Linked DNA regions of Caenorhabditis elegans. The protein of the gene in region 3 purifies or fractionates together with the protein of the main gene of each other region. This does not show direct contact. Each region holds a gene or a part of one and is shown on either strand. Other genes may lie near its edges.

Region 1 (10,993 bases), on a different chromosome or scaffold from region 3:
GCATCTTTCTCGTGTTCTCCCATTAAAGCAACTCCGTGTCGGATAACATTGAATGTTCCCAAAACATTAACCTAAATTGTTTTAAGTTATTTTGGTGGTTGAAATGACAGTAACTGACATCAATGGTCTGACGGATCTTCTCAAAATCAACGTGTTTCTTCTTTTGAACAGAGTAGAGCTTGAAAGCATACGCAATTCCGGCACAATTCACAAGAGCATCGAGGCGACCATATTCAGCTTGAACTTTGGCAAAAGCTGCTCTCACTTCTTCTTCGGATGTTACCTGAAATTTATGAAACGTTTGTTTTTTAATGAGAAAATACAATAATAAATTATGTTATTACGGGAGCACTAAATTCGGAGAATGCGTATAGAACCACATATTTGACGCGCAAAATATCTTGTAGCGAAAACTACAGTAGTTCTTTAAATGACTACTGTAGCTCTTGTATCAATTTCAGGGTTGGTTTTTTTCCAAATTAGTTAAAATCAATTTAATTATTTAATTTAAGAAAAAATGAAGGAAAATCTAATATCACTGTCACTATTCGAGAATAAATTCATTTCGAAAATCGATCCCGTAAATCGGCACAAGAGCTACAGTAGTCATTTAAACAATTACTGTAGTTTTCGCTACAAGATATTTTGCGCGTCAAATATGTTGCAAAATACGCATTCTCAGAATTTTGTGTTATCGTAATATTTGAAGCGTAAAACTTTGTAAAATACTAATGTATGTGCGCCTTTAAAAAGTACTGTAATTTTACAGTACTCTTAAAATTGAAAATGCTGTGGAATTTTTATCGACTTTTCGTAGTTTTTTATCATGATTTGTTGAATAAAATTGATGTGCTTTCAATTTTTAATTCTTAATTTAAAAAACGATGAGAATTTCATGAAAATTCAGTACTAACGAAATTTTGAAATAACAGTACTCTTTAAAGGCACACACTCGTTTCTATTTTACAAAAAAGGGCGTGTCGAGACAGAGATCGCAAAATTGGCGTCTGGGTAATATTTTACTTGAAGTTTCTCTTTACAAATGTAGCATGAAATCATTGTTACCGAAGCTGGTGTAAAGATTCCTCCGATCTCCTTCGCAACATCGGCTCCTTTTGACTGTGGAAGATCAAGAATAGCGACCTGTGCACCAGCCTTTGCCAAAACTTCGGCAGCACCCTTTCCCAGTCCAGACGCTCCGCCAGTGACGAGAGCAACGAGACCCTGAGAAGATAGAACGTAGGGTTTTCAGATAACACTTTCAATTTTGGAGCAAGTATTCAACCTTTTCAAGCTCTTAAACTCACCTTAGTGCTTCTGAGTGCCGACATTTGTTCCCGTTTACCTAAATCATAAGTGTGTTTGATTAAACATTCAAAATCTCGAACTAAGACGGAAAGTATTTAATAAAAGAAATCGCAACGAAATTCGAAAATAATTCTTGATAACAAAAGCATATTTCTCTCGAAATGTTTATAAAATTAAATTTTTCTTTAAAATAGTTGACGAATAGTATGGATTAAAAGTGGAATATGGGTTAAATACAATGCTTAATGCTTTTGTTTCAGGGATTTTTTCCTGCAAACGTGTAGCTTGCGACAGAAAAGAGAAGTAGAGATAAACAGTAAAAAAGCGATGAGAGATAACTGTGAAGCAGGAGAGATAAGAATGGGGGAACGAGGTGGGACATATTTATGGTGACAGCTCAAAAAATCAGAAATCATAGAACATGAAGAATACACAAACAGAGAATAAATGTTTATGGGGACATGAAAATATTTGGAGCAGACTAGTTTTGATCACTCGTCGTCTTCTTCTTCCTCATCCTCGTTCGAGAAGCGGCGAGTTGGACGAGACTTTCGACGGCTTGATGCTGGTTCCTGGAAATTAAATATTAGACTTAAAGACATTAAAAAAGTTCAAGTAACCTTCTTTTGTCCAATGATCTCCTCTTCTTCATCTTCTTCCATTGGGTCTTCACTATCTTCCGATTCCTTCTTCTTTTTCGGTGGTGGTGCACTTGCAGACGATGTTGATGGTTCATCATCTTTCTTAGCTTCCTCGGTCTTTACAGAAGACGAAGTTTCTTTTTTCTCGTCCTTTTTGGGGGTTACTTTAGTTGAAGCTTGTGCACGTTGAGCTAGCATAGCCGACTGCATATATTGAAGCATTAGGGCTTGATTTCCACCGGTCTGTGTCATCAATGCCTGTTGAAACTGCTGAGCCTGTGCGGGTGGAAGTGATTGCATATGTGTCATAAGCATTAACATTTGCTGAGCAGTTGCCTGTTGTGTCCGCTGAAGATCTGACACACTTGGAGTGCCACTGGTTGAGGGACGAGAAGATGAAGTTGATGGGGTTGAAGGTTCTTTCTTCTTGACTGGTTCTTCTACTGGCTTCGGTGGATTCATAAACTGAAAAAGTAATGTAAACTTCGAAATTTCAAAAATCAATCATACCTTATCGTATTGTTCCTTCCACAATTTTCCGATTGTTTCAGAGCTAACATAAATCTCACTGCCTTCTTCGTTGTATGTTTGAGCATTGTTCACAAGCAAATTCATATCATCATTCAATTCTTCCATAACCGTATAACGTCCTGTTTCGATCTTTTTGTTGATTCGATCGAAATCCATTGGTTTGGAAATCACTTGATAATAGTCCGGCAGTTCTTTACGAGTTGGAAGTGTCTGGAATACATCCGCGATGAGTTCTCCATCCTCATTTTTATATTCTAGAATAACATCAAGCATTTCATTGATTTTTTCTGCCAATTCTGGATCCGTCTTCTTCTTCTTGTGTTGTAGAACAACGTCATCCATAGAATCATCATTCTCGTCCAATCCAGCCATTTTACGTTTTCTTTGCTTTTTACGTTCAGCCACAGCTTGATTATTTTCATCCTCAACTTCCTCAACTTGTTTCATGAACTGTTCATCGGACAAAAGATCGGAAGAGTAGTCGACCTGAAAATGAATTAATATTGTAAATTCTCTTATATATTCCTTACCTCTCTTCTGCGTCTTCTCTGATTAGGAGTTTGATCAACAACTTCACGACCTTCCTCTCTGGCTCGTTCCATTTCCTCATAATCGAATGACAATTTGAGAATATCGTCTGGAATTTCATGTTCTTCTAGAAGACGGGGTTTACGGTGAAGTTGATTAGCTTCTTCACGACGACGATCAATATCCATCGATTGGAAGATATTAAATTCTTCCTCTGAGCGAGCAACCATCTGATTCACAGTTTCATCATCTGGAACTTCCTCTTCTTCTTCCTCTTCTCCGTCTGCTTGAATAATTTGTTCGAGCATTTGCTTTCTTTCAGCTCCAGTTGAACGTTGATCGAACTTTCCTGCTTGAATAACTTTCTCGTCGACATTCAACTTGTAGCGAGCAGCGGCAAGAATTTTCTCTTCAACAGAGTTAGCTGTGATGAGACGAAGAACTCGAACTTCTTTCTTTTGTCCGATACGATGTGCACGATCTTGAGCCTGCATATCCTGATGAGGATTCCAATCCGAATCAAAGATAATAACAGTATCAGCAGTTTGCAAATTGAGTCCAAGACCTCCAGCTCTTGTAGAAAGCATGAAAAGGAACAAATCACTGTTAGGAGCATTAAACTGTGTCAGCAGATCTCCACGCTCGTCTGGTTTAGTTGAACCGTCTAAACGGAGGTACGTGTATCTTCGGAAATTCAAAAAGTCTTCGAAAATGTTCATCATAGACGTCATCTGGAAGAACATCAGAATTCGATGACCTGTTGCCTTTAGTTTCGGTAGAATACGATCGAGAAGTTCCAACTTTCCAGCAACACGCATTAGATCGGTTCCATTGACTTCGTTGACCTTCCAGTATGCACGGCAGGAATCTTCAATATTAGGGAAAAGGAACGGGTGATTGCAAAGCTTGCGAAGATGCACGACAGTGTTCATCAACGAACGTGCTCCAGATGACATTTTAGCGTCGAGAAGCAATCCTTTCTGCATATGACGATAAATAACCTTTTGCAAAGCAGACTGGTCACACTTGATGACATACTCGGTCTTGTCAGGAAGCTGTGATTCTACTTCCTTTTTGAGACGTCTCAGCAAGAATGGACGAAGAACCTTGTGCAGTCTTCTGATGATGAGCATCGTCTCTTCTTGATTCAGTTCTACTTTCTCTCCTGTAGTCGCAAATGGAGCATTGAACCATTGTTCGAAAGTTCCACAAGATGAGAAGATCGATGGAAGTAAGAAGTTCAGCAGAGCCCATAGCTCAGGAAGTTTGTTCTGAAGTGGAGTACCAGTAAGAAGTAAACGATGCTGAGCATGGAAGAATCCGTTCAACATCAATGTCAATTTACAATTGTGATTCTTCAAACGATGTCCTTCGTCGATTATCATATACTTCCAACGGATTTTACCAAGCAGTGCTTTCTCTTTGATCACATATTCATATGTTGTCATCAAAACGTTGAACGCTCCTTTTCTGATTTGTCCTTCAACACGACGACGAGCATCTTTAGTTCCTTTATAGATGATAGTGGTTACAGATGGAGCCCATTTAGCAAATTCGTTCTGCCAATTGGACAACGTGGAGAGCGGTACGATGACAAGATATGGTCCATTGTTTTGTTTGACTTCCATCAAATACGTCACCAACGAGATTGTCTGAAAATTAAAAATTGATTAATATTTCCTCATTTCCCAAATTCCTACCTGAATAGTTTTTCCTAGACCCATTTCGTCGGCGAGGATACCGTTCAGATTGTTGTTGTATAAGGAGACCATCCATTCCAATCCCTTAATCTGATACGGTTTCAGCAGAAGATTCGGATCACCACCACCCATCGTTGTGTGTTGCTTGACAACCTTTTCTTTGATTTTGTGAGCAGTTGCATAGTAATCAGCCATTTGCTTTTTCGTTTTCTGATCATATTCATCCTCTTCGTTACGTGCCTTCTCGAGGATCATCTTAGCTTTTGTCTCTTCATCCATTCCAGCGTACTGATCATCCTTCTCTTCTTCTGGTTCCACTGGAGCCTCTTCCTCTTCCTCTTCTTCGTCATCACTAAGCTGATCACGTGGAACTATCTCATATTCTGGATGAGTTTCAAGCCAAAACTCAATTTCTTCAGTCTTTGGAGCTTGATCTCCAGTAAGCGCTTTTCCAGTGCTTCTCTCCCGAACGTGAACCCTGGCTTCCTCATCCATTTGATTTCCTTTTTCAATTTTCTTATCTTCCTTCTTCTTTTTCTTTTCGGTATTTTGATGTTGACGAACAAGTGAGCACAGAGAGTCGACGTACTCATCGGTTTGTTGAAGAAGATACACAAGACGTTGATCTTTCTTCTCATCAAGAAGAGCACGATATCCTTCTTCATCTTCTTGCATCAGTTTTTGCATACGAAGTTTTTCATTTCGAATCTCGTCCTTCTTGCGTTCACGTTCATTGTTTTGATGATATGTCATGACTGCCTTGCGAGACTTTGCCATTTTCAGAAGATTGTTTCTGAAAATAATTTAATTAGTAGGAGAACTTTCTAAATACAATCTCACCTATGATACTCCTTGAATTCCTTTCCATGCTGAATGATAGCTTGCATCAAATCAGTATGCTTCTGCCTTCTCTTTCTTTCTTGCTCCATCTTTTGTTGCTTCTCAAGCTTTTCGGTAACACGAGCTTCGCGTAAAGATTGCCGCTTTGTGCGTCGATACGCATATGGATTGAGTGCAGTTTCGAGAGTTGTGTCTCTTTTGAGACAAGCCATCACTTCACTGCGCACCTAAAAACAGCTTATTGGTTAAAATACTCTTCGAATCCAGAAATTACCTGAGTTTGGAGATTGACAAGACGTAAAGCACGCAATTCGATTTCTGCTTTCAATTTCATGTGATCTGGAATGTCGGCGGGTAAGTTATTGAGTAGCTTCATGCGTAGCCCGATTCTGTTTTGAATCATATTTTCTCTTTGCTTGAGCATGCCAACAGGATCAATTCCTGATGGAACAGAAATTGTTGTTGGACGATTACAGCGTATTTGATGGAGATTGAAAATCTGTAAAAAAGTAGACTGTATAGTTTCATTCGATCCATTTTACCTACCTTCATCAAATCATACGGCAACTTTTCTCCATTCTCTGCCTCTCCTGGATATTCATAAGGTTCAGGCAACAAAGTTGTAACTTTTGGTCGGAGCATGACAGCATCCGCAATCAAGTTGGCCGGTACTTGTTCATTTCGAGCCAAAAGACGATAGGCTGACACTTGAGCCCTCAGTTGATTGAGTTGTGCTGGGGTAATTTGTTGATTCCCGCCATTTTCCTGTCCTGGAACGGCGTCTGGGAGACCAGATTGGAGTTTTTGCTTCAAAAGAACTGCTTTGGCGTGTCGATGGTCATTCTGAAGACCTTGTTCCTCCATTGAAGTTATCGCATTTTCCAGTTTGGAAATTGTCAGCTCTTGGCCTTGAGCTCCATCACCAGCTTGCTGAGCAACAACTTCACCGGCTGGTTGCGGTGGTTGAGCAGTAAACTGCTCAAACGCCGGCCTTCCGCTCATTCTTCAAAATTCCAGCAATTTGATACACTATCTTCTTTCAAATTGATAGTCTGAAACAATTATTAATTCAGAATTTTAGATTCAATTGAACATTCAAGATAAACAAAAAGTATTGCGGTAATAGTATATAAGCGAATTTCAGAAGAAGCCTGCGTGAATAATAAAACCGAGGACAATATATAGACTTTCCATCCATCCTAGTGCAAAAAGAGTAGGACTGATGGAACCGAGAAATAGCGTGCAAGTGAAAGAGAGATGTAGTGTATTGCAGGACACAACTTTCGGCGCGCATTCAAAATTTCTAGCGCATATAAAACACGGAGAACTCTTCGGGGGCCCTTTGTGAGCTAGTGAGATAAGAAAAGCTAAGAAAAAACTAAAAGATTGACGATTTCTAAAGATTGTGAAAAAATCGATAAGTAGTGACGTGTACGAATCGACTTTTCATGAATCCTGAGAGGTTTTTTCGTTTTCCAACGACGTATAAGTGTATACTGATAACTAGTATCGCTTGATATCGTGAAATTCGTCTGAAAACCGAGAAAATCCATGAAAAATGGTCTAAATTGTGTGTTAGACTAAGCAGCTGGGGAAGAAGAAGGTTTGAATGTATGCAGTGGACGCGCCGAGCGTCGATTGGCCAGAGAGGCAAAGTGAGGAGAAACACTATTGGAAATGGAGAGACGCAGACACTCTGCATGTCTGCCTGCATTGGAAACGGGCCATTGCGGCGGAGAGGACAAATGAATGGGAAAAGAGACAAGAAAAGAAGGAATAGTGGAAAATACAAGAAGACTACGGTAGATATAGACCATATCAGAGCTTCATTATGACTATTTGAATAAAGTATTTGAAGGAAATTTAATATAGCAAAAATATTTCAGCGCAACAACATTTAATGCTAGTTTAAGAAAAAAATGAATACTATACATAAATTTTATATTCTATAAAAATCTTCTTCGACTGCGACGAAATGAATGGTGCAGTCATTCGCTTCAAAATTGCATTTAAGCTGTGGTTTTTCGGCAGGGATTGAGAAAAACCGAGTTATATTTAAGAAATGCATTTTAAAATATTTTTTGAAGAAAAATGTCAATTTAAGAATATAGAAAAGAAGATCGAACATTGAGACTCGTCGGCGCCGAGTATTAAAAATCTGACGAAAATTACAGTACTACTCCGATTCGCTGCGGGACCCGTGCTTTATTTTCACGTATGGTCCTTTCGATTATTGACTTTTTGTATCTTGCAGCTGGAGCCTTATTAGCTTGCGTCCAAGTTTTATCAAAGTTTTATTCCATTTTATCTGTATTTTTGTTCTACTAATTAGTTTAAAGCATGTATGAATATTCTTTCAACCCAAATATCGATCATGAGCCCGGATCTGTAAGCTTAATATTGCTGATTCAAATCTAATTTTGCAATTTTCAGGTAGAATCTCAACAATCCACTATTTATTCGGATTCTGATGATTCTGATGACAGTTTTCTTGACGATGAAGTAATACCACCGAAGGAACAAGCTATGAGAAAAATTGAATTCGCTCTTGCAGATATTAAAAGGCAAATGGATAACAAAGAGAAATCGTTGACTTTGAGAATGTAATAAGTTCCTGTTGAAAATGTTTGAGTAATTTTGTTTTTTTTTTCAGATCGACTAGTAAATCACATTTTTGCCTTCGTTATACAGCAAAGAGGAAAGGAAAATTGGATAGAGATTTGCACTGTCTTCACCAAGTTTATGATTTGCTCGAAAATGACAAAAGATCAACGAAAAGAGAATTGTATTATGAACATAAAGCAGTTTATGGAAACCAGAAATATTTAGACAGTTCAATAAAATCAATTTGTGAGCTTTTGAATGAAAGTCGGGCTAATTTAAACATTGTCAGTGTGACATTAATAAACAAGAAATAATTTCCAAATTTCAGCTCTCTTGTGGACGCGGGATAATTCGTGGAGCAATTACTTTTTTAGTTGAGAATGTTGGTGTAATTGATGCGAGAGTTCAAGAAGTTTTGATCACAGGTAAGGTAATAAAAAACATTTAAAAATGATCAACGCTGGTGTTTCAGATGCACTGTTATTTTCGAATATAATATCAGAAGCCGATTTCATACTTGTTGTTGAGAAAGACACAACTTTTCAAAAATTAATGGATGAAAATTTTCAAGCAATGTTTCCACGTGGGATTCTAGCAACTTCGAAAGGATATCCGGATATTGCAACTCGAAATGTTCTGAAAATGTTGAGTGAAAAAAGAAAATTTCCAATATACGGACTGTTTGACGCTGATCCGCATGGTGAATTTTTAATAAAGGATTTAAAAAATAACTATATTAAAAATAGTAATACTTAAATTCAATTAAGGTATTGAAATCTACTTGACTTACAAATATGGACCTACGAAAGAATTTGCCGAAGGCCGAGGAGCCTTTGTTCCAACGATTGAATGGATCGGGTAAGACGATTTTATATTTATTTTCATAATTTCAACAAATTTCCAGTCTTTTCCCAACTGATTTTCATCGTTTCACCATCGATCAATCACAATGTCTTCCATTGGTTCGAACTGATTTTGTGAAAATTGAGAAGATGATTCCTCGATCGATTCAACTCGGAGAAATAGTGGTGACACGAGAATTAGACTGGATGATTCAGAATAAATTTAAAATGGAACTTGAATCAATAAATATGTGCGGACAGGAGTATATGGCTCGATTCTTGATTGCTCCGAGAGTCATGTCGATAGAAAAAGAAATTCCGATTCAACCAGAGACGATTATAAACGAGTACCACGAAGATTCACAATGTTCGCTGTCGACAGATGATGATCGGGAAGCAAAAGACGATGACTATATAGATTCGGATGCTGAAGAAAAGTTCCAGAATATGATAGATAATGATAGTGATTGAAAATAATATGAAACAGATTTTATTTTAGTTTCAAATGCAATATATTGCAATTACAACCACAAAAGGGGAAAGGAACCGTAAAGTGTTCGAGAAGTACTGAGACTGAGAAGTGGGGGGAGAAACAACATTAAATAAATAGAAAACAACACAAGTTATCTTATCTTATCACAATATCATCGAGTGCATAAAGCTAATGGAATGGGGAGATGTTTTACATTGTTTAGAGCTCAGAGTGCTCCTCCTCAATCGTTGTTTCTTCAGCGGCTTCTGGCTCTGGTTCAGCCTCTTCAATATGCTGTTCGGTTTCAACTTGAGCATCTTGGGAAACATCGAGCGATTGGCGAAGGACAGCTTCGATTCTATCAGCAAAACCAACTTGATCTTGAAGTGAGAATCCAGAACGAAGAGTGGCAGTTTCGAAGAGAAGCTTGGCAGTAGAAGCAGCGGTGGTATCTTCTTCAGAAGCAGTGACTCTCTTGAGAAGCTCCTTGATAACTGGATGGCGTGGGTTAATCTCGAATGTCTTTTTCTGAGTAGCATAGAAGTCTTGAGTTGGATCCTTTGCCTTAGCATAAGCTTGCGACTTCATAATGCGCTCCATGTTTCCAGACCATCCGTAGGAAGAGGCAACAAGGGCAGATGGTGATTTGACAAGACGTTGAGAAACAACTGCTTTCTCGATCAGATCCTTGAGTGCAGTTTCCTTGAGCCAGTCAGTAAGTGGCTTGAACTCCTCTTCAAGACCCTTGTGGGCTTCCTTGGCCTTCTCTCCATCATCGATGGTAACTCCTTCCTGAAAAATAGCATGTTGATAGGTAAAACATCATAGCCACTAAAGAAAAAAGCCTTCAATACTCACCTTAGCCACATTTTGGAACTTCTTTGATTCATATTCTGGCATAGCTTGAATACAGTACTCATCAACAGCTTCGGTGAGGAACAAAACTTCGTATCCCTTAGCGATGAGTCTCTCTACGAATGGAGAAGTTTCAACTTCCTTTCTGGAAGTTCCAGCCATGTAGTAAATGGCGTCTTGCTTTTCTTTCATTCTTTCGACATAGGCGGCAAGAGTAGTTGTTTTGTCAGCATCATTAGAAGACTGGAAGCGGAGAAGTTTAGCAAGACGCATACGGTTGGATGGATCCTCCATAACTCCCAACTTGATATTGGTAGAGAACTCGCTCCAGAAGTCATCGAATTGGGCTCCGTCGAGTTTCTTGAGCATGTCGAGCACTTTACGGACAAGTTTCTTCTTGATAACCTTGAGAAGTTTGTGCTGTTGGAGGTTTTCACGGGAGACATTGAGTGGGAGATCATCTGAATCAACGATACCGCGAATGAAGGAAAGATACTTTGGAAGCATATCGGCAAAATCGTCAGTGATGAAGACACGACGAACGTACAATTTGATGTTTTCGATAACTTTTCCGTAGTTCTGAAATAACATTATTAGTTGAAAATAACTAAACGCAATTAAAACAAATGCTATATAACTTTCAATATTCTTACCTGGAACATGTCATTTGGA
Region 2 (10,993 bases), on a different chromosome or scaffold from region 3:
GATGATCCTTGTGATGATCTTTATGATGTTCCCGATGATGGTCCTTACTAGTTCCTTCACCATGATCCATCCGCCTTTCTCCACGATTCCTTTCTCTGTCCTTCTCTCGATCCCTTTCCTTGTGATCTTTGGCTTCTTTCGGCTTCTCCTCCTTACTCTTATGATGGTGATGGTGATGGTGATTTTTGTGTTTATCAGAAGTTATACTTCTATATCGGTCAGCCATTTCTCCAGGTTCTCTCAGAGTGAACTTGCAAAGAAATATCCACAAATAGTTATACCATTTTCGAATATTTGTTTTTGGCTTCTTTTTTATAAGAGTTTCGAGGTTTTCAAGGAACGAGTCGCCGAGTCGGGTAAGATATTTGGCCTCGTCAGCTTGATTTTTGGCTTCCTGCGCTTCCTTCAGTTTTTTCATGTATTTATGTACCGGCATGCAAAGCTTCACACATTCTGAAAATTCATAAACGTTTTTGATTTTTTTAATGGAATAGATTTGGAGTTAATTTCAACTCAACTTACAATAGATGTTCTTAGACTTTCATAAATGAATATAGGATGATTAGAAGCCAGAGCTGTTATTATTATTTTTTTTCGAATTTCAGACATATGAAGTTTAATTTAAGAATACTATTTTTTCTAAAAATCCACATTTCTTTGCAGTCAAATTCATATCTGAATGTCTTAGAACATATACTGTAAGTTCTGAAATATTTTTTCAAAGTTTTTACCTAGGAATGGCTTGGCACTGCTATCCTCTAGAGCACCTCCATAAAGAGATTTATCAATCGAAAGAAGAGCTAGCTGATCTTTCAAACTGCTGCTGTTTTTCTCTTCTTTCTTTTCTTTTTTCTTCTTTTCTCCCTCTTGAGGAACATTATTCGTATGCCTTTTCTTCTGAAAAATTTAAATTATATTCAATAAGAAGACATTAAATTCCAACCTTTTCTGGTCCAACTGGTACATCATCTGCCTTTCGTTTTCTTTCCTTTTTTTCCGTTGTCTTCACTTTATCCTTGGACATTAGTTTCAACAAATAATCGACTCGAACTTGTAAGTTTTTTCCTTGCGGTTTTTTCGTCTTGTCTTTAATAAAAATCTTATCAGCCAATCCAAGAGTAGGATCCATTTTTATCGCTTCCCAACTACCGTAACCGTACTTCCAGACACCCAGGAGCAATGCCGAGTCATCAGGTCGACTCCAATCAACATCCCAACCTTTTTGTAATTTAGCATTTGCTGGTGGTTTGAATGAAGTTTTCGTTTCTTCTGACTTGAGTATTTCGTGTAATGGTTTCAGCTCAGCATGACTTCGTTCGATTTGCTTCAGATTAACGTCACATGTATGAAATTTGAATTTTCTTTCGATGTCCTGCAAGAAAATTGTTAATAAAATACATATTATTATTATTTCCATAACAAACACAAGTTAGCTTCATCAAAAAACTTTAAACGCGTTAATTAAAAAAATTAATCAATTGTTTTGATCAGAGAAAATTAATATTTTCAATGAACAAAAAAAAAGTTGGCTCAAAAAATTCGAACTAACCTTCTTTTCACTTTCCGCTGCACCGGCATCACCATTTTTCTCGTTACTGTCGAACTCATCGGCTGCTTTTTTGCACGCCTCACTCAAACTTTCAACAAGTTTCTTCATCTCGTCAGTGCTGTGCTCCTCGAGTTCCGCATCTTGAGCAATTTCCTCGAGCCTAAAAACAACACAGGTGGGTGGGGGAAGATTGGGGAAAAGAAAACATGAGAACAATTTAGAGAGTTTAGAAGTTTAGAGAGAAGAGTTACAAAGCAGTGGCACAGCCGACTCAATGAGCTCAGAGGTTAACAAAAAACTAATAAGACATGAGAAGCACGTACCTGTTAAGAGGCATCGAAAACTTTCGGAATGATTTGATAAATCGTTTGATTTCAGGAATTGTGAAGTTTCCCACTGCTTTCTTCTTTTTCTTTTTTCCAGTATCATCTTCTTCTTCATCATCGTCACCATCATCATCTTCGACAACCTGTGGTATTGGTTGTTTTCTTTGTCTCGGTGCTAGATTCATTTCAGCCAACTCCTTCATCCGTTCTTCCTCAAGAATTCGATTTCTATCCTCTTCTGGAATTATAGCCGCCCATTCGTCAGTTGCTGCAGCAATGTCCTTCTCTTCATCGATTGCGAAGTTTGCATATTTAAATGAACTGAGCAGTTCATTCTCTTTCATCACTTCTTCTTCAGCTTCTCGAGTCTCCGCGCCCATCAGGATTCGATCAATATCAACTTCAGGTTCTTGTTCTTCACCTTCTTTCTCTTTGAACAATTCAACAGCTCCAAACTTCAGAATTGCACTAAGTTCTTGTTTATCGAAAGGAACACTTCCGCTGGCAGTTGCATTCTTCGACAACACTGTTTTTCCAGTGGTATCCATTCTTTGAATGACTAAATGATCCAATACAAGCTTCCGTTTCGCTCGTTCAACAATCTCTTCTTCAACAGAACCTTTTGTTACTAGTCGGTAGATGTTCACGGTTTTTGTTTGACCAATACGATGTGCACGAGACATTGCTTGCAAATCATTCTGTGGGTTCCAATCTGAGTCGAAAATTATTACTGTATCAGCAGTGGCGAGGTTAATTCCTAATCCACCAGCCCTCGTGGACAGAAGGAAGGCAAAATCCGTGGATCCCGGAGCATTGTAATGATCAAGAGCTTGTTTCCGAAGATCAGCACGCATAGATCCGTCGAGTCGTTGTGAAGGAAAGCGTCGTAATTGAAGGTACTCTTGTAAAATATCGAGCATCATAACCATTTGAGAGAAGATCAGAACTCGATGACCTTTGTCTTTCAGACGGCATAGAAGCTTGTCAAGAAGGATTAGTTTTCCAGAAGATTTTAAAAGTTGTTGTAACCTTCCTTGGGCATCGTCATAGATATGATCATATTGTCGAGTGAGGGATGCATGATTGCAACACTTTTTCAATTCCATCACAAGATTTACAAATCCATTAATTGATCCTTTGACACCTTTCGATAACTCGCGGTAGTTCTTTGTAAGAATCCATTTATAAAACTGCTTCTGGTGAGCCGTCATGTCAACTCTGAGAATCTGTTCCGTCTTCGGCGGCAACGATTTTTCAACATCTTTCTTTACTCTCCTCAACAAAAATGGTTCAAGCTTTTTGTGCAAAGCAGATATTCCTTTATGATTCGATTCATTGTGAGCTGTTTCAAATTCTTCCCAACAATCGAACTTTTCAGGCATGATGAAGTGAAGAAGAGCCCACAGCTCTTTCAATGAGTTCTGGAGAGGTGTTCCTGTGATTAGAAGCTTATGGTTGAAACGGAACTGTGTGAGAGATTTGTAAAGCAAAGATTCGTCGTTTTTGAGACGGTGAGCTTCATCAACAAGAAGAGCTGCCCAATCAATTGATGACAGGAATGCTTTATCTTTGAGAAGAATTTCATACGTTGTCAGAATTGCATTGATCTTCATTTTCTTCGTTCCGCCGACAAACCATTCGTATTGACGAATCTACAAAACTACTTTTCAATATAAAAATACAAATATTATTTATTACCATATCTCTAGAAACAACATCGCCCATATAAACAACAAGATTCATTTCAGGAGCCCATTGAGCAAATTCTTTCTGCCAAGCAGCCATCGTTGAGAGAGGAACAACTACGAGGTATGGTCCAGCAAGATCATAACGATGAAATAATGAAGCGAGAAGAGAAATCGATTGAATTGTTTTTCCAAGGCCCATTTCATCGGCTAGAATTGAGCTGTTTCCTTTGCACCAAGCGTATACCATCCAATTGAGACCTTCAAGTTGATAATCACGAAGTTTGTGTGTTGATTCTCCGTCGGTTTTCAGAAAATCCGGCATCGACTCAAATTTTTCAAATTTCGGGCGCTTCCGGAGGACCTAAATTATTATTTTTTGTAGAGGTTTAATAATAAAAAGTGAAATAAATTGTCCTTCAAACTAACATTTGAATTTTTATTCGGAGATTTCAGATTTTCAATTCGATGATAATAAGCCTTTATCTGCTCAGGTGCAACCATCTTTTCATCTTCCCAAGTACAATCCGAGTACGGTAATCCAGACCACTTGATAAGATATTCAGTTGCCATTGATCCATCAGCAGCTCGATCTCTTGATGTTTGATGAGCTACGACTCTTTCCACTTTTTTGTATTCTTCACAAAGTTCTTCTGCCATTTGTTGTTCACATTCAAAAAATTCAATGTATTCTTTATCGGCTGACCGCTTCCACATCTCAACTTCTTTTTGCTTTTTCACGTAGTTTTGAACTTTTTTGAGTCCTTTTGCATTCATCAAGGCCAATGAGTTTTCAGACTCCCATGTGTTATGCAGATGACTCCAGCCTGTCCATTTGACAAAAAATTGCTGCTCTGTCTTATCACCGGGAATTTGATCGTTAGGATCCCCTTTATCAGCAATATTATAACAAGTTGTTGCAGAACCCGTTGCTCCAGGTACACCGTGCCGCCATTTGATAACTCTTTCGACAGTTTCAGTAAGAATTGCAGGTCCTTCTGCGGGTACTGCTGGCTCTTCATCCCATTCAAGAACGTCGTCATCGTCGATCTGGAAAAATAAAATATAGGAAACTGCTAAATTTTAAGATTATTTTAGTTTTAGAAAAGGTCTTTAAAATGAAGTTCGGACGAAACTAGTTCCACATTTTAGTTTTACGACTCATACTTAAAAAAATTATTAAATAGCTTTAATTTTAAGATGTTTTTAAATTGAAGCTAATAAATGAAGGAAAAAATAATTTTTGCGGCCTACTGTATCAAAGGCGCATTACTGAATTACATTTTCTAAAAATATTTTTCGCGGAGAGACCACTCGGCGCTATATTTGAATATTTCAACAACTCACGTCATCATCCGAATTTTTCTCGGCATAATTAACATTTCCTTTCACCGACTTCCGTTTTACAACTGAAACTGCTTTTTTCGTTTGCTTGACAACTTTTTTTGTTACTGTTCGCCGTGGTTTTCGTCGATCATCCCAATCATCTTCAGAAGATTGTGATTCTTCGGAATTATCCGACGGTGAATCATCTTGTCGTTTTGATCGTTTTGAACGTCGAAAGTAGTTTTCATTTTCAAGCAGCTGGAATATATTAAATTAATTTCTGTTGTGTTTTTGATCTTTGGACACATACTTTTCTTGTTTCTGCATCCATCCCCCGATTATTATTATTTTTCTTCTTCGGGGCAGGTTCATCTGGTTCTGAACTTGATGAGTTTTCACTAGCATCATCACTGTCGTCACTTTGATCAGAAGAACTTTCAGGTGAATCCGCAGCTGGAAATTGAGTCAAATAAAAATAACTTATTTTTTTAAAATAGTATTCGTGTAATGTAACATTCTTTTTTGTAGTTCACAAAATTTCAGATACTTAAGATTTTAAATGTATTTGATGAATTCTGAAAATAGTTAATATCCAACCTTTTTCTTTTTCATCATTATCTTCACTGGTACTGTTTCCTTCAGGATTTTCTTCTTCCCTCACAGGTTCATCTGTTTTCTCATCAGGTTCTGCATCACTCCCAGATGATGATTCAGACTGATTCCACATATCTGAAATTCTTATTTTTTCTCAACAAAAAACCCCGTAAAAATTCCAAAAAGACGGTAAAATTTAGCAAAATTTTGTTCGATTATATTTATATTCATAAATATTACTATTTTGATAACTATTTTAGCTAATTTTAGCAAACAATCTTATTAATATTCAAATTATTTCATTTTGGCGCCGATACCGTTATATTTACAAGAGGAAAAAAATTCAAAAAAAAAATCAATGAAATCACTGACGTAAAATCAAAAAACTTTTTTTTCAAACATCACTAAACTATAATAAAATAACATCAAAATAATTCAAAAATTCTCAAAAGTATGTGCAATTTGTTAAATACGGTACTAGATCCCCGTTAACATCGGAATAAAAAACAATTGCACTAGGCCCATTAATAGTACTTTCCGGTGCAATTTCCTATATTTTTTTAACTGAAAAGGGTACTAATTAAATTTAGCTGTCTATAGAAAACATTTTAATCGAAAAATTCTGCTTGTGAGCCAAGAAATCGGTCCAAAAAGAGATGCGCACTTCAGAAAAAAGCGAATCGCCCAGCCATGAACACCTCACAACCGCGACGCAACCGCTCGCGATCAAAAGTGCTCGTTACTCTAACCGCGAATTCAAACTTGCATTTTTAGTCAGAATAGAGCCTCCCACATTGATGCTTTTCATGTATTTGTGTGAGAACAACTCAAATATTAGAGACCAGAAGGTTTATTGGCAAAAAAGGCGTACGAAACGCCATAATGAAGGCACCAAACGGTCCTTTTTACATCATAAAACAAGAAAGAAACCGTGAAACAACCGTCAAGTTGAAAATTCTTCGATTGGGAACCCTAGTCGAAGCTGCAAACAATAAATAAATAAATTACAAAAGGGAAACAACGAGGGAGGGATTTGATAAAAATTCTCTATAATTATCCAATTACAATTCAGTCTTCTTCTTCTTCTTTCCGTCGCGGCTGAAACCCTTGAGCCCATCAGTAGAGTGCTTTGAGATGAAGCTGACGAAATCCTTAACTTCGCGTCCTCCATTGTATGGGATCGGGTTCGACTTAGCGTTCTTTGGAAGCCAGAAGAGAGTTGGGAATCTGCAAAATTATACAAATAATTCAGGATCAGCATTGGATAAAATTACTAACCCTCTAACTTCGAACATTGGTGGAACATCATTGGCGGTGGCATCCATCTTAGCAATGATAACATCTTCCTTGTTGAGCTGAAATTACAAAATTTGAAAGTATTTTACAAATTATATCACAAGCCTGAATACTTTAAGTGTCTCCCAGTGTAAACTTAAATATTTAAAAAAGTTTAATTAAAGTTAACTTGTATTTTTGAAAAACCTTTCAGAAAGCTTATCACAAAAGCACTTTAATAAATAAAAAATTACTATGTAAAAAATAACTTGCATGCTAACTTCTATTTTTATTTTTAAGTTTTTCTCACATTCGTGTTTCAAAATAAGTAAAAAATAAACTTTTTAAATGTGAACTATGGGAAGATGTTTAAAAAAAACCAACTGTTGCGAATTCTTATTCACAATACGTCGTATTAATTTTATGTAACAAAAAATTCTACCTTCTCAGCAAGTTCCTCGTATTTTGGAGCCAATGATTTGCAATGTCCGCACCATGGAGCATAAAATTCAATGAGCACATCCTTATCAGCATCCATGATAAGTTCCTTGAAGTTCTTTCCAACGGCAACCTTAACGTCTCCTTGTTCATCTGGGATTGGCTCAGACTTCATGTATGGTTCGGCATTTCCGGCGAGAACTTCATCAACGAATTGCTGGAGATTGTCAACGCTGAAATTATTATTATATTAAATATCGGTTGAAAAACATTGAAATTATTTTCTGATAATATATCAGAGCTTTAACACACCTGAATTCTTGGTCCATTGGATACTTTCCTTCATTAGTGAGAATGGCAACGATTGGCTTATCCGAGTCCTTGCGCTCTCCTAGTCCATTGGTTTCAATTTCAGAAGAGAATTCTTCTTTGTTGGAAACGGCGAATTGAACTTTTCTCTTATAGTTTTGAGCAACTTTCAAGACACGGTTGCGCCAGTAGTTGGATCCCTTAGGATCCTTGACGTAATCAACGTTGTAGTAAACAATGACGATTGGCTTTTGCTCGAATTGGAACAAGTTTCCTTGAGTACGAATTCCGGCAAATCCAACACTTAAAATATGATAATTAATTACAAGCACAATAATTTAATCATGACTAACGTTTCATGGACCAAGAAGTTCTTAATCTTATCGGTGTCGTAGTTACCATCATATTTGAACTCGTTAGTGTCAAACTTGTTATGGAGCTTTTTTGGAACGAAGACAACGACGTCACTGAAAAATAGCTCATTAAATTATCAGGAACATGCGAATTCACAATTAGTACTTACTCAGAGTATCCAGCCTTCTTGATGATGTCTTTGTTGGAAGTGTGAGCGAAGGAGAAACGATCACGTTCGGTATCAGCAACCTTGAGATAAGAATCCTTAAGCTTGCTTTCGCTCTCGAAGAATCCTTTAAATAATTAAATTTAAAAAAGCCAAGAAATAAATCAACCAACCGATGACAACATTTTCATCTCCACCAGTGAACTTCTCGAATTCGGCAACGGTCTTAAGTTCCTTGGAAGAAGGTCCCGACTGTCCGCGCATGAACTTAACGATACCATCGGCATCACGTGGTCCATCGTAGTCTTGGGCTGGAACTCCATTGCGGAAGATCTTAAGAGTTGGGAATCCCTTAACTCCGAATTTGTCACAAACAGTCTTCTCGGTGGTACAATCGACCTGAAAAAAAAACAATGAGAGAAATACATATGCGTATTTAATAATGAGTTCATTCACCTATGTGAAATGCAATAAATATTGTAAAGTCACAAAACGTATTGAAATATAAGTTACGACACCATGAAATGTTTTTCAAACTTTGGATATACTTTGCGAGACCATGATTCAGAACAGGGGTGTGCGGCAAATGGAAAAAATTGCCGAGCTCGGCAAATCGGCAATTGCTGGTTTTTCAAAATTTGCCGTGCTTAACAAACTCGGAAAATTTTGATAATTTTTGATGTTTTTTGGAACACCAAAACTACCGAATTCTTAACACACATCTGGTTTCTGAATTAGTTCCGTGTAGTATGTCTGCTTAAGCATAAAACTAACTCAATTTTGTGTCATTTTACTAAATTTTTGGCGAAAAAATCAATAATTTTACTCAAAATTGTACTGTAAAATTTTTGACGTGTGCGGCAAATTTCGAAATTTGCCGAGCTCGGCAAATTCGGCAAATCTACCTTTTTGAAATTTGCCGTGCTCGGCAAATCGGCAATTGCTGGTTTTTTCAAATTTGCCGAATTCGGCAAATCGGCAAATTTGCCGAGCTCGGCAAGTCGGCAATTTTCGGCAAATTTGCCGCACACCCCTGATTCAGAAATCCATTGATTATGTATTGGAACATGGCCACAACGCTGCACTTTTCGTCATATTGCAGAAGTGAATAAACAAGATGTGTCAACCAAAATGATTTGAACAGGCTCTTTCAACATTATTATAATACACCCACGTTATTACTATGTGATCGTCACTATCGTCGTCCAATAAATAAAACTAATCGATGAAATCTTTCCAATACCTTGAAACGATCGAATTAATCAAAAAGTATTCGGTCATGTTTTTGATTCTTACTATTAGGATACTGAAATTACCTCTATTAGTGTCACATGCCAGACTAAGCTACGAATGACCCTTAGCTTTGGAAACTATATGACGCAGTTGAAAAAATACATATAAAGAATATATTTGAAAATTTTGAAACTATTCAGGCAAGTCTATTAGAGGCTGCATCACTAATTTTTGATCGACTCTCTTGGATGCGATATTGGCAGAGAAATCAGTATTTCATTCACATGCATCATCCTATTCCTTTTCAGAGATATTAAAACTTAAATTATTGAAATTCAACTTTTAAAAAAATGCAAGCTAATTCAAGCATTTTAAAATTAGCTTTAAATATCATATTTTCAATTCGAATTAAAACATGATCGACTGATTGAAATTGGAGAACATTTTCATTTTCACGACAACAGGGCCGGCTCCCGCAATCTAGGGTGCTGTGTAGCACATGATTTGGTGACCATCAAGGGTGTCAAGTCCCGTGTCCCGTTGTCCCGTTTTTTGGGTGTTTTCACGGGAACGGGACGTCCCGTTGTCCCGTTTTTAAAATTATCACGGGAACGGGACGTCCCGCTGTCCCGTTTTTGAGCGTTTTCACGGGAACGGGATGTCCCGTTGTCCCGTTTTTTGGGTGTTTTCGCGGGAACGGGACATCCCACTGTCCCGTTTTTGTAATTTTTACGGGACACTGACACCCTTGGTGACCATCCCTAACTACTTGTTTTCTAACGATAACATGCGTTGCTAATTTTAGAATCACGAAATTACAACGAAGTCGGTCAAATGAAGTTTTATGGCCTCTTTTCATTGAAAAAACTCCGGAAAATGTGTCAGAGCCGTACAACGCAAGGAGGTGGATCTTATATTTTCTCGAAAACTTGAGCGTGACGCCCATTTTTCTGGGTCTTTGCGGCAAGCTCCGCCTTTTTTCGGATAACACTGGGAAAGAGATTTCGAGAATTTTACAAAGATACACGTGAAAAGAAGAGGAATTGTTTGCCAAAAGGAACACCGTAAAATGTTTAATTGAAAAAGTCTGTCAATTACTGCTTCAAAAATTTCAAACATATACTATTCTCTATGGCAATGCACATGTGATAGATCGTTTTCGAGATAATATTGAATTTACTGTTTCAAAACTGAGAATTCTTAAAGGGGGGCTGGATTCCTATTACTAAACCGTGGTTCAAATCTTTGTTTCTTTTTTTTTACAATCTTCAACTTCAAAAACATAATCTTTTGTTTCATTTACTACCATATCGCACTCGTTTGTGGTATAGATAAAACTGTTTGCTACGCGACTGGTGTTTTTGCTCTTATCGTTAATTGATGTCCGTATTCTGTAGAGTAAAGACCTGACAACAAACAGTGATTTGATGCGTGGGAAAATGTAAATGTCGAGCCGATCTCATTGTCAATGGCCTTTTGAATACACAATAACCATTTTGGACCAGCATACATAATATATATGACGGACAAATGTTTCTATATGCATAAGGACTAGAACAATAAATTCAAAGAATCCTTTGTATGCATTTCATATATTTCTATTCAATGTGGCTTTCGTTGCTGTTTTATCAGCTTTCGCGTATTTGTCAGTGTCACTGCGATCGATATATGAGCGATGGCTGTGTAAATAAGTATGGTTATCTTACCTTGACGAGAGCGACTGGTGGATCGTTAGATG
Region 3 (10,993 bases):
TAAAAAATCTTTCAAAAACACTGTCCATCTCCAAAATCGTCCTCCGCTCCAAAATAAGAAAGTGGACCTTTGCCTTCCGAAAAATGGGCGAAAAACTGAAATTGCGATTTTTGGGTCGAAAAAAATATTTTTAGAAAGCTGAGAACACGCTATTTGCGAATTTCATGTTCATTTCAGGTGATTTCTTCTCTTACACGACCTAAAAATTAAACAAAAATAACATATTTTTAATTCTCACGTGTAACTATTTGGTAATTTGCTCAGTGTTTCAATTGTTTTAATGCAAATTTTAAAAAATTTCACGTGAGAATAAAAATTATGTTCTTTTTGTTTAATTTTTAGGTCGTTTAAGAAAAGAAATCACTCAAAATGAACATGAAATTCGTAAATAGCGTGTTCTCAGCTTTCTAAAAATATTTTTTTCGACCCAAAAATCGCAATTTCAGTTTTTCGCCCATTTTTCGGAAGGCAAAGGTCCACTTTCTTATTTTGGAGCGGAGGACGATTTTGGAGATGGACAGTGTTTTTTGAAAAATTTTTTAGGACATTGTAGAGACATCAAAAAAATGATCATTTTTCAAAATTTCAAGTCGATACGTTGAATATGAAGATTTTTATAAGCGAAATTGAATTTTTTTGAAAAACGGTCTCTAACTTGGCGGAACATGAAAATATCCGAAAACTTAAAACTGGTAAAATGTAGAAAAATATTTTTCACTCACTATTCAACAAAATTTATCTTCTGAAATTCAATGAAAGTTGAGTTATAAAGGGTACAACAAAAGACTTCTAAAAATTTTTGTGAATTTTGGAAAAATGGCTTTGACTCCGTGTAACTTTACAAAATGTTGGTGTATTGAAATAAAAACTATTAAATTAGAAAGAAAAAATATTTCTCATCATTTTGTTAGTTGGACATTTGTTTTTCAGGTGTGTATTTTTTGAGATACGCCAGTTTGAAAATACTCAGTTCAGAGAGTTTTGGAGGTTATTTCATTTGAATGAACAAATTGAGTAGATGTACCTTTGATGTATTCTTGGAATACGGTCCTTGTACGTGCCTCTTGACTGATGAAGAAAACAAGTAGACAATGAGCACAGGTAGGCAATGAGAACAGGTAGTCAATGATTTTGGAGTCAATGAGTATTTGCCTCCACGAAGGCACCACTCTCGCCCGCCCTCACACCATTGCCCTTATCTGTTGCACACAGCTATAGTGGGGCAAGGTCCCGCACAGCGTCGGCCGCAGTACACAGAGTGTGATAGTGCGGGCGCACAGGCGTGCGGGAGTAGGGCGGGCGTGGTGTGCCCTCTTAGCGCCTCGTCTTCGTGGAATGCAGACACCTTACGTACACCTTACGGGTTACGGAACAAGTAGTTCATCGCAGACCTCCTTCGTGGTCGGCTGCGCTTATTCTATAGGGAACACACAGAAATATCGATTTATGTATAGTTCCGAACACGAGGTTGTTATCAGAATATCAATCGTATTAGAATGATTTCAGGTTAGTATTTATTTGGTTCAGAATAAAACATTTATGTAATTTTTGGTAAAGTAACATGCCAAGGTCCATATTAAAACTACACAGGCTCCCAGATGGTGTTGTGCTCCAGATTGTATATCTTCTAGTTGTAGCTCAACTCTTTTGCCTGAAAATTGAAAAAAATTTCAAATCAAAATTTTCTCCAAAAAAGTACCGCAATTACTTCCAGTATAAGTCAAATTTGATCTATACTCTCTGTAATTAACATACGAGCCTACATAAATCCGGAAAAGTTGGCAAGGCTCGTAGAATTCCGGATGATTGTCTTGTATGATTGCCAATCTTTCTCCTCTTGTGAGAATGTTCTGAAAGTTTGGAAAATAAAATTATCCTACATATAGGCGATGAGCAAGTCTACCCAAATTCCGCTCATTTTCGCGTATTTCAAATTTGGATTCGAGATTATCATTGCAACTGGGGATGACTCTAAAAAATTTTTTTCAATGTTATAAAATTTTCTTTATGAAAAAACCACCATTTAATACTGTAATATAGTGTAGCGAATCCAGAAAACCGATGCTATCCAAAGTTGTATTTTGAATAATCAGGGAGCCGAATAAAAATTCTAACACTCTAAGCTTCGTCACATAGTCCTCATCTCCACCTTCTATAATCAAATTCCCCATTATTATTTCACAATTATTCGGGAGCTCCTCCATTGAGATGAAAATGCATAAAACTATATCTTCTAGATTTCCATAGTCCTCGCATAATTTTGCGTCTAGATTCTCCACAGAAAGATCAGACTGTAGGAAGAAATTGTTCAACTCGGGGAGGGTTAGGCAAAAATCTGGATGCAAATTTTCAAAGTTTACTCGAATAATTCCACTCCAATAATTTTCGATATCCTGAAATTCACAAATCAGCAATTATTTTAACAGAAAATTCCGTCAAAACATTACCTGAAAATTCGGGAGCCCCAGCCGCGTCATATTTGGATTATCGTGAATATTAATGAGAAGTTGCTCATCGATTCCTTCATTTTGAACTTTTATTCTTTCGAGTTTCGAAATGAATGAGAGATTCTGCAGGGTAGTGTGGCGGATTTCAATGTTTCCTTTGATGACTTTAACGGTTGATAAATAAGAAAGATCTCCTTCACCAGTGACATTGAAAACCTTCAAACCATTTACCAAAGTATCACAATTATCCATGTGATTCGGTTTATAAACATCAACCTCTCCAAATTGGCAGCCTGGAAAGAGTACATTCATTTACAAAATCCCATTTTCATACAGTTGTGTCAAAGTTTTTTGTTAGAAATTTAGATAGAAATATAGAGAAATATTTGCACTTTCTGAAAATCTCTTTATTTTCAAGTAAAAGTTCCGGAAAGTTGCTCAAAATGGGACGCGAAATCGCATTTTGCTAGGTAATCGTGTGGGCGGCAACGACATTTTCCGGCAAATCGGCAAATCGACAAATTGCCGGAATTGAAAAATTTCCGGCAATTTGGCAAGTTGCCGGAATTGAAAAATTTCCGGAAAATCGGCAAACCGGAACATTGTCGATTCGCCGAACTTGCCTGAAAAACGGGAATTGCCGAAAATTTTCGGCGAACTGTGGTTTTGCACATTTTTCGGAAATTTCAGTATTTCAATTTCAATAGGCAACATTGTACGCATCCTATGAACATTCCTACATCTACTTCCGGCAAATTGGCAAATTGCCGGAATTTAAATTCTTGGCAAATCGGCAAATCGGCAAATTGCCGGAATTGAAATTTCCGGAAAAATCGGCGAACCGTCCAGCTGCCGATTTGCCGCACTTGCCGGAAAAACGGCAATTGCCGAAAACTTTCGGGCAATTGCGGGTTTGCTCATTTTTTTTTGGAAATTTAAGTATTTTAATTTCAATAGGCAACATTGTACGCATCTTATGAATGTTTCTACATCCATTCGGAAAAGTAAGTAAATTCTATAGAAATATCTGAAGAAAACGGGAAAAATGTTCAAAGAGGCACAGTTTTAATTGTTTCCGTCTTATAAAAATGCCCTCTAAACACTTTCGGCAAATTGAAATCCGGAAACCACAATTCGGCAAATTGTCGAAAATAAAAAATTCCGGCAAATCGGCAAACCGGCAAACGACAAATCGACAATTTGAAAATCTAAATTTCTGGGACATTGCCAAGCCGGCAATTTGCCAATTTGCCAAATTTGTGGACAAAGAAATTTTCTGAACGTTTTCCATATAATATCTTTCAAAAATTTCAATCAAAAGGAAATGTACATATTTTCAAAAAGTGGACAAGTTTTTCTATATTTCTGCAAGATAAAAATATATTTCATAATTTTGCCAAAAAAATGTGCCCGCCATCTCCGGTCCACAGTGAATTTTTTGCTTTTTACCATCGCAATCTCTCTTGTTTCCAAAAATCTTCATGTTCATATAGTGATCTAGATAATTCGTGTAACAAAATATTTCAAGTTTCTCATTATTTTCAACTTCGAAATTACACTCCTTCAGACCTTCTCGACGAATCATATTAAATCTATATAGCACATCAATTTCGTTCAACTCGGAATTGTTCTTGATGAATAAGCCATCTAAAACTAGAAGTTTAGGCTCTTTTGCTGAAATTAAAATTTTCAACTTACAATCGCTGCATGAAAAATTAAATGGCCCATTTGGAAACCTTGTAGTTATGAAAGATAGGCTTGTATACTTTGTATTCTCGATTCGTAACCCGCCAACCAAAAAGTTCATTTTCTTGAAGGCCTTTTCCAATTTCTCATGTGCTAAGTCAGTTCTAGAATCTATAACTATAATTGCACAGACAACCTCGCATTTCGGGAAAAATTGTATTGTTTTTGAAGTTATTTCGGTGTAATTAAACATGCACTTCTTTTCTGAAACAAAAAAAAAATTTTAAAAATTGATAATCGTAAGAAAAAATTTCCCACCACAGCTATTTGAATCAAATACATTTTGTAAAGCTTTAGATAAATTGAGAGAGCTGCAGTAGCGAAATAAAATAAAAAGTAGGAAAATGCAAAAAATCGATAGGGAAAATGTTTTCATGTTGAGCATGAGATTTGATGCTTGGGCAACAAATTATTTCAAAAAGTTTGGGGACATGCGAAGGTAGTTATTATAGCTGACTCAAAATGTAGTGTGATGTAGGGGTGTCAAGAATAACGTTGATTTTATCAAATACTAAAACCCCAAAAATGTCGGACGCTAAAAAACGTGTGAGATCAGTTTTTAGGAATTATGCAGACTGTGACAATTGTTAACGTTTGACGGGAACTGTGGTCCGAAAATTAAAAAAAAATTGAATGATTTATTTCAAAAATACATCTTTAAAGGGTTTAAGCTCCATACAATTATAAAAACACACAAATTAAGTTTCGATGCTTCCAAATTTCCAATTTCTACTCTCTCTCCGCAGTGACTTCCGGTATGCGTCAAGTTAGTACGATGCAATACCAAACCGTATCTTGATTATGCTCGTTAAACAGATCGCAAGGTTTTGACTTGAACAAATTAGCATAATTATCTTGGATTATGGCAATTCGTTTTCCTCTCGTCACGACAGCCTAAAATTGTTAATTGTAGTATTAAGCCAATTTTCTAGAATAACTACCATTCCTCCCACTGAGACCTTTTTCAAGTTTGGATTAGAATAAATTCGGATGACTGGTGAATCTGTAACTTTACGATTTGAAGTTGTACACTGAAAAGCCTCACCTGAACGAAACTATATAACTAAGGTAACTCAGAAAATATGTATCATTAAGTTGGGTATTCCGTATTGTCACTGTTCCAACCAAGTAACTAGTCCAATCCAACTTGCTCACATAAACTTCATCGCCTTCTCCAATTGTTATATCTCCAATAATAGCGTCACAATCGTTTGGCAAGTCACTCATAGATTTGAAAATACAGTTGACAGCATCTGGTATCTCTCCCGGATCCGCACAAAGTTTAGCGTGAAGGTTTTTGAAATGGAAGTAAGACCACATCAAACGATGGATTTCTGGCAATGTTAGACAAAAATCAGGATGTAGATTTTCAAAATTCGCGTTTCTCAATTTGAGTCCGTCCAAGTGATATGTGTCGTGAGCGTTTTTGAATTCTTCAAGCTTCGGAAACCCGAGACGAATCATTTCCGGATTATCGTGAAGATTGAAATCAATTTGCTCGCCACTTCCATTGTTACTAATTTTCAAAATTTCTAGATTTTCTAGACAAGATAAATTTTGAATATTTGAGTGATGAATATTAAAGTCTCCTCGAATATATGTCAGATTTGAAAATAGCTTAACACTGATAGATCTGTTAAGTTGGAAAGTTCCAATCCAGCACTTAGACTTTGGCATGCTGTATAGGTTCTAATTTCAGCCTCGCTTAACTTTCCACCATGGCATCCTGAATTTGTGGATGGGAAAAAATTGAAAAACAATATCTTTAGATATCTAGGTACTTACTGCAATTTTTCGAATTCCCAACAACATAAATTTCTTTGAGATAAGGAACATATCCATAATCACAATCCACTTCTAGAATTGCGTTGTTTTGAACTTCAAAAACGCATTCTCTATTGTCACCAGCACGGTAGGTATATATCGAGTTAAACATATTATTTGGATCACCTAATTGGGAATTGTTTAGTATAAATATTCCTGCTGAAAGTATTCATATAACATATAGATATGCCAAAACAAAAGCTTCACAACAGAAAATTTGAATTTTCCGTTTTTTTTTCTCGAAATAATTTGATTTTCCCGCGAAACAATTTCTCAGAAAGTTAGAATTCCCGTCAAAAAAAATCTCGGAAAAATTGAACATCCCGCCAAGTGTTTTCTCAGAAAATTTAAAATTTTGCGCCAAAAATATTTTGCAGAAAATTCGAATTTCCTTCTAAAAATCTTTCTCTGAAAATTTGAATTCCCCACCAAATGTTTCCTTTTGAAATTTGAATTTCTCGCCAAAAATATAAAAAAATAATTTTCTGCCAAATTATTTTCCCCGAAAATTTGAAATTCTATTGAAGATGTTTTTCAAAAAATTGAATTTCGCGCCAAAAATTTTCTCAGAAAGTTTAAATTTCCCGCCAAAATGTTTTCTCATTAAATTTGAATTTCCCGCCAAAATTCGTTGGTCTCACCACGATGGATCTCACCACGATGGGTCTCACCACAATGGGTCTCGCCACGAAGCGAGAGGCTCCGCCCATTGATGACGCACTCAACAGATGTACACTTTTTTTTTTTAATATGTAAGGAATGATAGGGATCATAACTTTAATAAAAATTCTTACAAAAATCACAAGCAATATTGAAACTTCCAGATTCTTTATCAGTTGTAAAAATAGAGAGATCCGTCAAATTTGAATTCTCAATCCATAAGCCGCCAAGTAACGTACGCATATTCTTGAAAGCCTTTTTAATTTGAACAGCAGATACATCTGTTTTTGAGTTGATGACAATAATTGCGCAGACTAGTTCACACTTTGGGAAAAACTTTATTGTAACCGAGCTTATTTCGGTGTAATTGAAAACGCACTTGTCCTCTGAACATTTTAATTTAAAAAAAAATTAGAAAAAATTAAAATTTCTAAACAAACCGCATTGGAAAAAACTGACAATAGTATTTAAATTTTCTCGGGGATCTGTTTTACAAATTAAAATAAAAGTGAGAAAAAATAGAGAAAATAGAAAAATAGTTGGGATTTTCATGTGGAGTTTGACCAAATGTATTAGAAAGGACAAAAACTTGAGCTTTTACATATGCAGCAATTATCTCGAATCGGAAGTTTAAATTATAAATGTCGAAAATTTGTAAAATTTTGAAGACTAAATCGCGTGATTCATAATGAGAGGCTATAAAAATGAAACAAGGTTTTTTGATCTATTACAGCAGGCTACTATTAGATTTTCGCGCCTTTTTTTGTAGGGCACTTGCCTTGGCAATTTTCTTCGTGCAATTTTCAATTTGCATCACTCAATTAGTTCAAAAACTTTTTATTTGCGTCAACACTACATTTTTATGCGCTGAACGAGGAGAAAGTGTATTCACAATCAGTTCGCAAACAAAGATCATGACCATTTTTAAGATCATTGACAAAAACTGCATCATCTTTTTGTAGTGATAACGGGGGGTACTAAAATATTGAGAAATACTTTCCAGTCTATAAAATTGGAAGATAACCGGAAAATTTTCATTTTCCACAAAATGTTTGGAAAACTAATTTCTCTGCTGGGACTAGTTGCCCTCTGCTCTGCAGGACAATTCTCAATTTCAGTAGAAAAATCTGGATCTCTTCGTGAGCAGCTAATCCGAGAAGGACGCTACGGACAGGAGCTTGCTAGAATCCAGCAATTGAGCACTGGAAATGTGTCGTTCTTTGACCATTTCGATGAGTACTATACCGCCGGTGTTAGAATTGGAACTCCAGGTGAGTTCTCGGATGTTCGGGGTGCTTCAAAAAGAAAACAAAAAATTTCAGCTCAACACTTTCAAGTAGCCTTTGACACTACATCCTCAAATCTATGGGTTTTTGGAGTCGAGTGCAGAAGTCAAAACTGCCATGGAGGACGAGGTCGTAGGTGAGTATGCTGACCCCAATCTAACAGTTGAGACTTCTGGAAGAGTTTTAGAGATCGCGAATACAATCGCACTGCTTCCTCGACATTTGTCGCCGGAACTTCAAGCTTCAACCTGCCATATGATGGTGGACACGTTTCTGGAAATGTAGGAAAAGATACAGCTCAATTTGCCGGTTTTACTATTCAAAGCCAAGACTTTGGAATCGGAACCGCTGCCACCAGACTTTTCGGGGAAACATTCGATGGAGTCCTGGGATTGGGATGGCCGGCTACTGCACTTAATGGAACTAGTACAACAATGCAAAACTTACTGCCACAACTTGATCAGAAACTCTTCACGACTTATTTCACAAAATCCAACATGCATAACGGAACAGCAGGAGGTGACATTATGTTTGGAGCAATTGACACCACACATTGCCAATCACAAGTCAATTACGTCCCACTTGCCTACAACTCGTTCTGGAGTTACTCTGTGGATGGATTTTCAATCGGCACTTATTCAAGAACTCAAACAGAAACGGTATTGTTTTTACTGGGGGTTTTTCTCGCTAAATTAGAATCAAACAAAACTCCAAATTGAAAGAGGAATACATTAGGTTAATTTGCGAATTTATCAGAATGTACGCTGTAAATGGTAGTAAAGTTTTATTCAACTATTAGGTCGTTCAATAAGTTTTTTCGTTTTTTTCTAGTTTTGGTTTTTTCTTGGATATTATTTTGCGGTTGTATAGAAGACTGTTAGTAATGACAAGCCCAACAATATCAGCCATATCGGCCAACTTCCAGATTATTTAAAACTCCGAACTATGGTGACGAAAAAAAATTTTTTTTTTCGAATTTTTTCATTTCTTTATGAAATCAAAAGCTTTGTATGCGTAGAGGTATAAGACAGTTAGTTAAACAAAACTGAAAAATTTCAGACTCAGGCATAGCTTATTGATAGCGCTACATCTGTTGGAAGTGCCGAAAACGCTTGCGAAATTGCCTTTTTTATGTTTGAGCAGTGCCAACTTTGAAATCATGAGAGATATACAAAAGTAATGTATTACAACATTAATGTACACATTATTAGCTACACTTCATTAGTATATCACATTGTTGTACCTCTTCACGTTTCTGAGTTACAGTCGATAGAAGTGAGCTTGGTCCAATTTTCAAAAAACCCTATTTTCTCATGTTTTGGCCTGTAACTCCGAAATCAGGCGTCTGATCAAAAATCTTTAAATTAAAAAATAAGCATTTTTTATTTATAAACAGGTACTCAGTTGACCGTTTTGTCATATCTCATATGTGCGCAATGATATGAACCGTCAACGAACAAAAAATGCATGATCGAAAAAATATAGAAATATATTGCAAAAAACTATTTTACTCTTTCCGAAAACAACATGAGCGTTCAAAAATGCATGTAATATTTTGATTACTAATTAGGCTATCATAATCTAAAAACAGTTAGAGGTTATCTTGTAAAAAATTTTTTTGGATTTTTTTTTCGAGGATTTTTTAAAAAGTTTTCTGAAATTTCCGCAACTTTTCTTTGGCGATTCATATCATTGCGCATATATGAGATATGACAAAACAGTCAACTGAGTACCTGTTTATAAATAAAAAATGCTTATTTTTTAATTTAAAGATTTTTGATCAGACGCCTGATTTCGGAGTTACAGGCCAAAACATGAGAAAATAGGGTTTTTTGAAAATTGGACCAAGCTCACTTCTATCGACTGTAACTCAGAAACGTGAAGAGGTACAACAATGTGATATACTAATAAAGTGTAGCTAATAATGTTACATTAATGTTGTAATACATTACTTTTGTATATCTCTCATGATTTCAAAGTTAGCACTGCTCAAACATAAAAAAGGCAATTTTGCAAGCGTTTTCGGCACTTCCAACAGATGTAGCGCTATCAATAAGCTATGCCTGAGTCTGAAATTTTTCAGTTTTGTTTAACTAACTGTCTAATACCTCTACGCATAGAAAGTTTTTGATTTCATAAAGAAATGAAAAAATTCGAAAAAATTTTTTTTTTTCGTCACCATAGTTCGGAGTTTTAAATAATCTGGAAGTTGGCCGATATGGCTGATATTGTTGGGCTTGTCATTACTAACAGTCTTCTATACGACCGCAAAATAATATCCAAGAAAAAACCAAAACTAGAAAAAAACGAAAAAACTTATTGAACGACCTAATACGTATCAACATAAAAAATGTGATTATTTGTCAACTAGAAATGTAACTTTATCATTAAAAACCGTGATAATATAAACTACAAACTCTGGCGAATTATCACTATAGAGTTTGTAGTTAGTACCATTACAGGTCAGGCCAACTCCAATAATTTTAATGTCTGGAGAATGTCAGATTATTCAGATTCAGATTACTGTAGGAGTTATGAATGAGTATTGTAACGCGGTGTTATTGGTATTTAGAAGGGAGCCAGCACATTTTTTTGCAAAATTTGAGTGTTTAGGCCTTTTGTTTCAAAATTTTAAACCGCCACATGAACAATTTTGGGTACTTTTTGAGAACGCTAATTGTGAAATTCAGTTGCTGAAAACCATAACTATCAAGTTTCAGACCATCCCCGACACTTCATCCGGCTGGACTGGTGTTCCAAACGTTGTCCTTGCCGGAATCGTAAAAGCCACTGGAGCAACATACGACTGGAATCATCAAGCATACACTCTCCCGTGCTCTTCAACAGCCACACTACCTGACATGGTTTTCACAATCGGTGGAAACTCGTACAACGTCAGAGCAGTAGAATATGTGGTCAACTTGAACTTGCCAAACGGACAGTGTGCTCTTTCTCTGTTCGGAACAGCCGCCTCACAATCTGGACCGGCGTGGATCCTTGGCGACAACTTCCTTAGAAGTTATTGCCACG

What was found.
Region 1: the proteins of irld-12 (region 3) and swsn-4 fractionate together in Caenorhabditis elegans (co-fractionation; one large-scale study listed by BioGRID). This does not show direct contact.
Region 2: the proteins of irld-12 (region 3) and chd-1 fractionate together in Caenorhabditis elegans (co-fractionation; one large-scale study listed by BioGRID). This does not show direct contact.

What each region holds. Positions count from the first base shown.
Region 1 is NC_003282.8:11,121,631-11,132,623, reverse strand, and holds swsn-4 (SWI/SNF chromatin remodeling complex core catalytic subunit swsn-4), read right to left. Parts: upstream 6,601-10,993; 5' UTR 6,551-6,600; coding exon 6,095-6,550; intron 6,048-6,094; coding exon 5,823-6,047; intron 5,776-5,822; coding exon 5,549-5,775; intron 5,502-5,548; coding exon 4,709-5,501; intron 4,661-4,708; coding exon 3,011-4,660; intron 2,967-3,010; coding exon 2,460-2,966; intron 2,415-2,459; coding exon 1,929-2,414; intron 1,881-1,928; coding exon 1,800-1,880; 3' UTR 1,462-1,799; downstream 1-1,461. Other genes in the region: ard-1 (3-hydroxyacyl-CoA dehydrogenase type-2), read right to left, coding at 1-71, 119-283, 1,066-1,224, 1,308-1,331; Meiotic recombination protein spo-11, read left to right, coding at 7,889-7,936, 7,982-8,151, 8,202-8,436, 8,481-8,577, 8,625-8,852, 8,920-9,010, 9,057-9,465; enpl-1 (Endoplasmin homolog), read right to left, coding at 9,686-10,258, 10,325-10,900, 10,975-10,993.
Region 2 is NC_003279.8:7,009,596-7,020,588, forward strand, and holds the start of chd-1 (Chromodomain-helicase-DNA-binding protein 1), read right to left. Parts: upstream 5,629-10,993; 5' UTR 5,614-5,628; coding exon 5,484-5,613; intron 5,340-5,483; coding exon 5,197-5,339; intron 5,145-5,196; coding exon 4,908-5,144; intron 4,611-4,907; coding exon 3,990-4,610; intron 3,984-3,989; exon of another isoform or gene 3,925-3,983; coding exon 3,574-3,924; intron 3,528-3,573; coding exon 1,873-3,527; intron 1,710-1,872; coding exon 1,550-1,709; intron 1,373-1,549; coding exon 944-1,372; intron 898-943; coding exon 732-897; intron 454-731; coding exon 1-453. Other genes in the region: pdi-3 (Protein disulfide-isomerase), read right to left, coding at 6,542-6,707, 6,759-6,835, 7,198-7,426, 7,506-7,805, 7,856-7,969, 8,026-8,149, 8,196-8,421, 10,962-10,993.
Region 3 is NC_003283.11:3,016,838-3,027,830, forward strand, and holds irld-12 (Receptor L-domain domain-containing protein), read right to left. Parts: upstream 4,570-10,993; coding exon 4,452-4,569; intron 4,398-4,451; coding exon 4,146-4,397; intron 4,095-4,145; coding exon 3,897-4,094; intron 2,741-3,896; coding exon 2,448-2,740; intron 2,394-2,447; coding exon 2,021-2,393; intron 1,972-2,020; coding exon 1,904-1,971; intron 1,851-1,903; coding exon 1,700-1,850; intron 1,652-1,699; coding exon 1,524-1,651; downstream 1-1,523. Other genes in the region: asp-8 (Peptidase A1 domain-containing protein), read left to right, coding at 7,726-7,948, 8,000-8,099, 8,151-8,622, 10,684-10,993.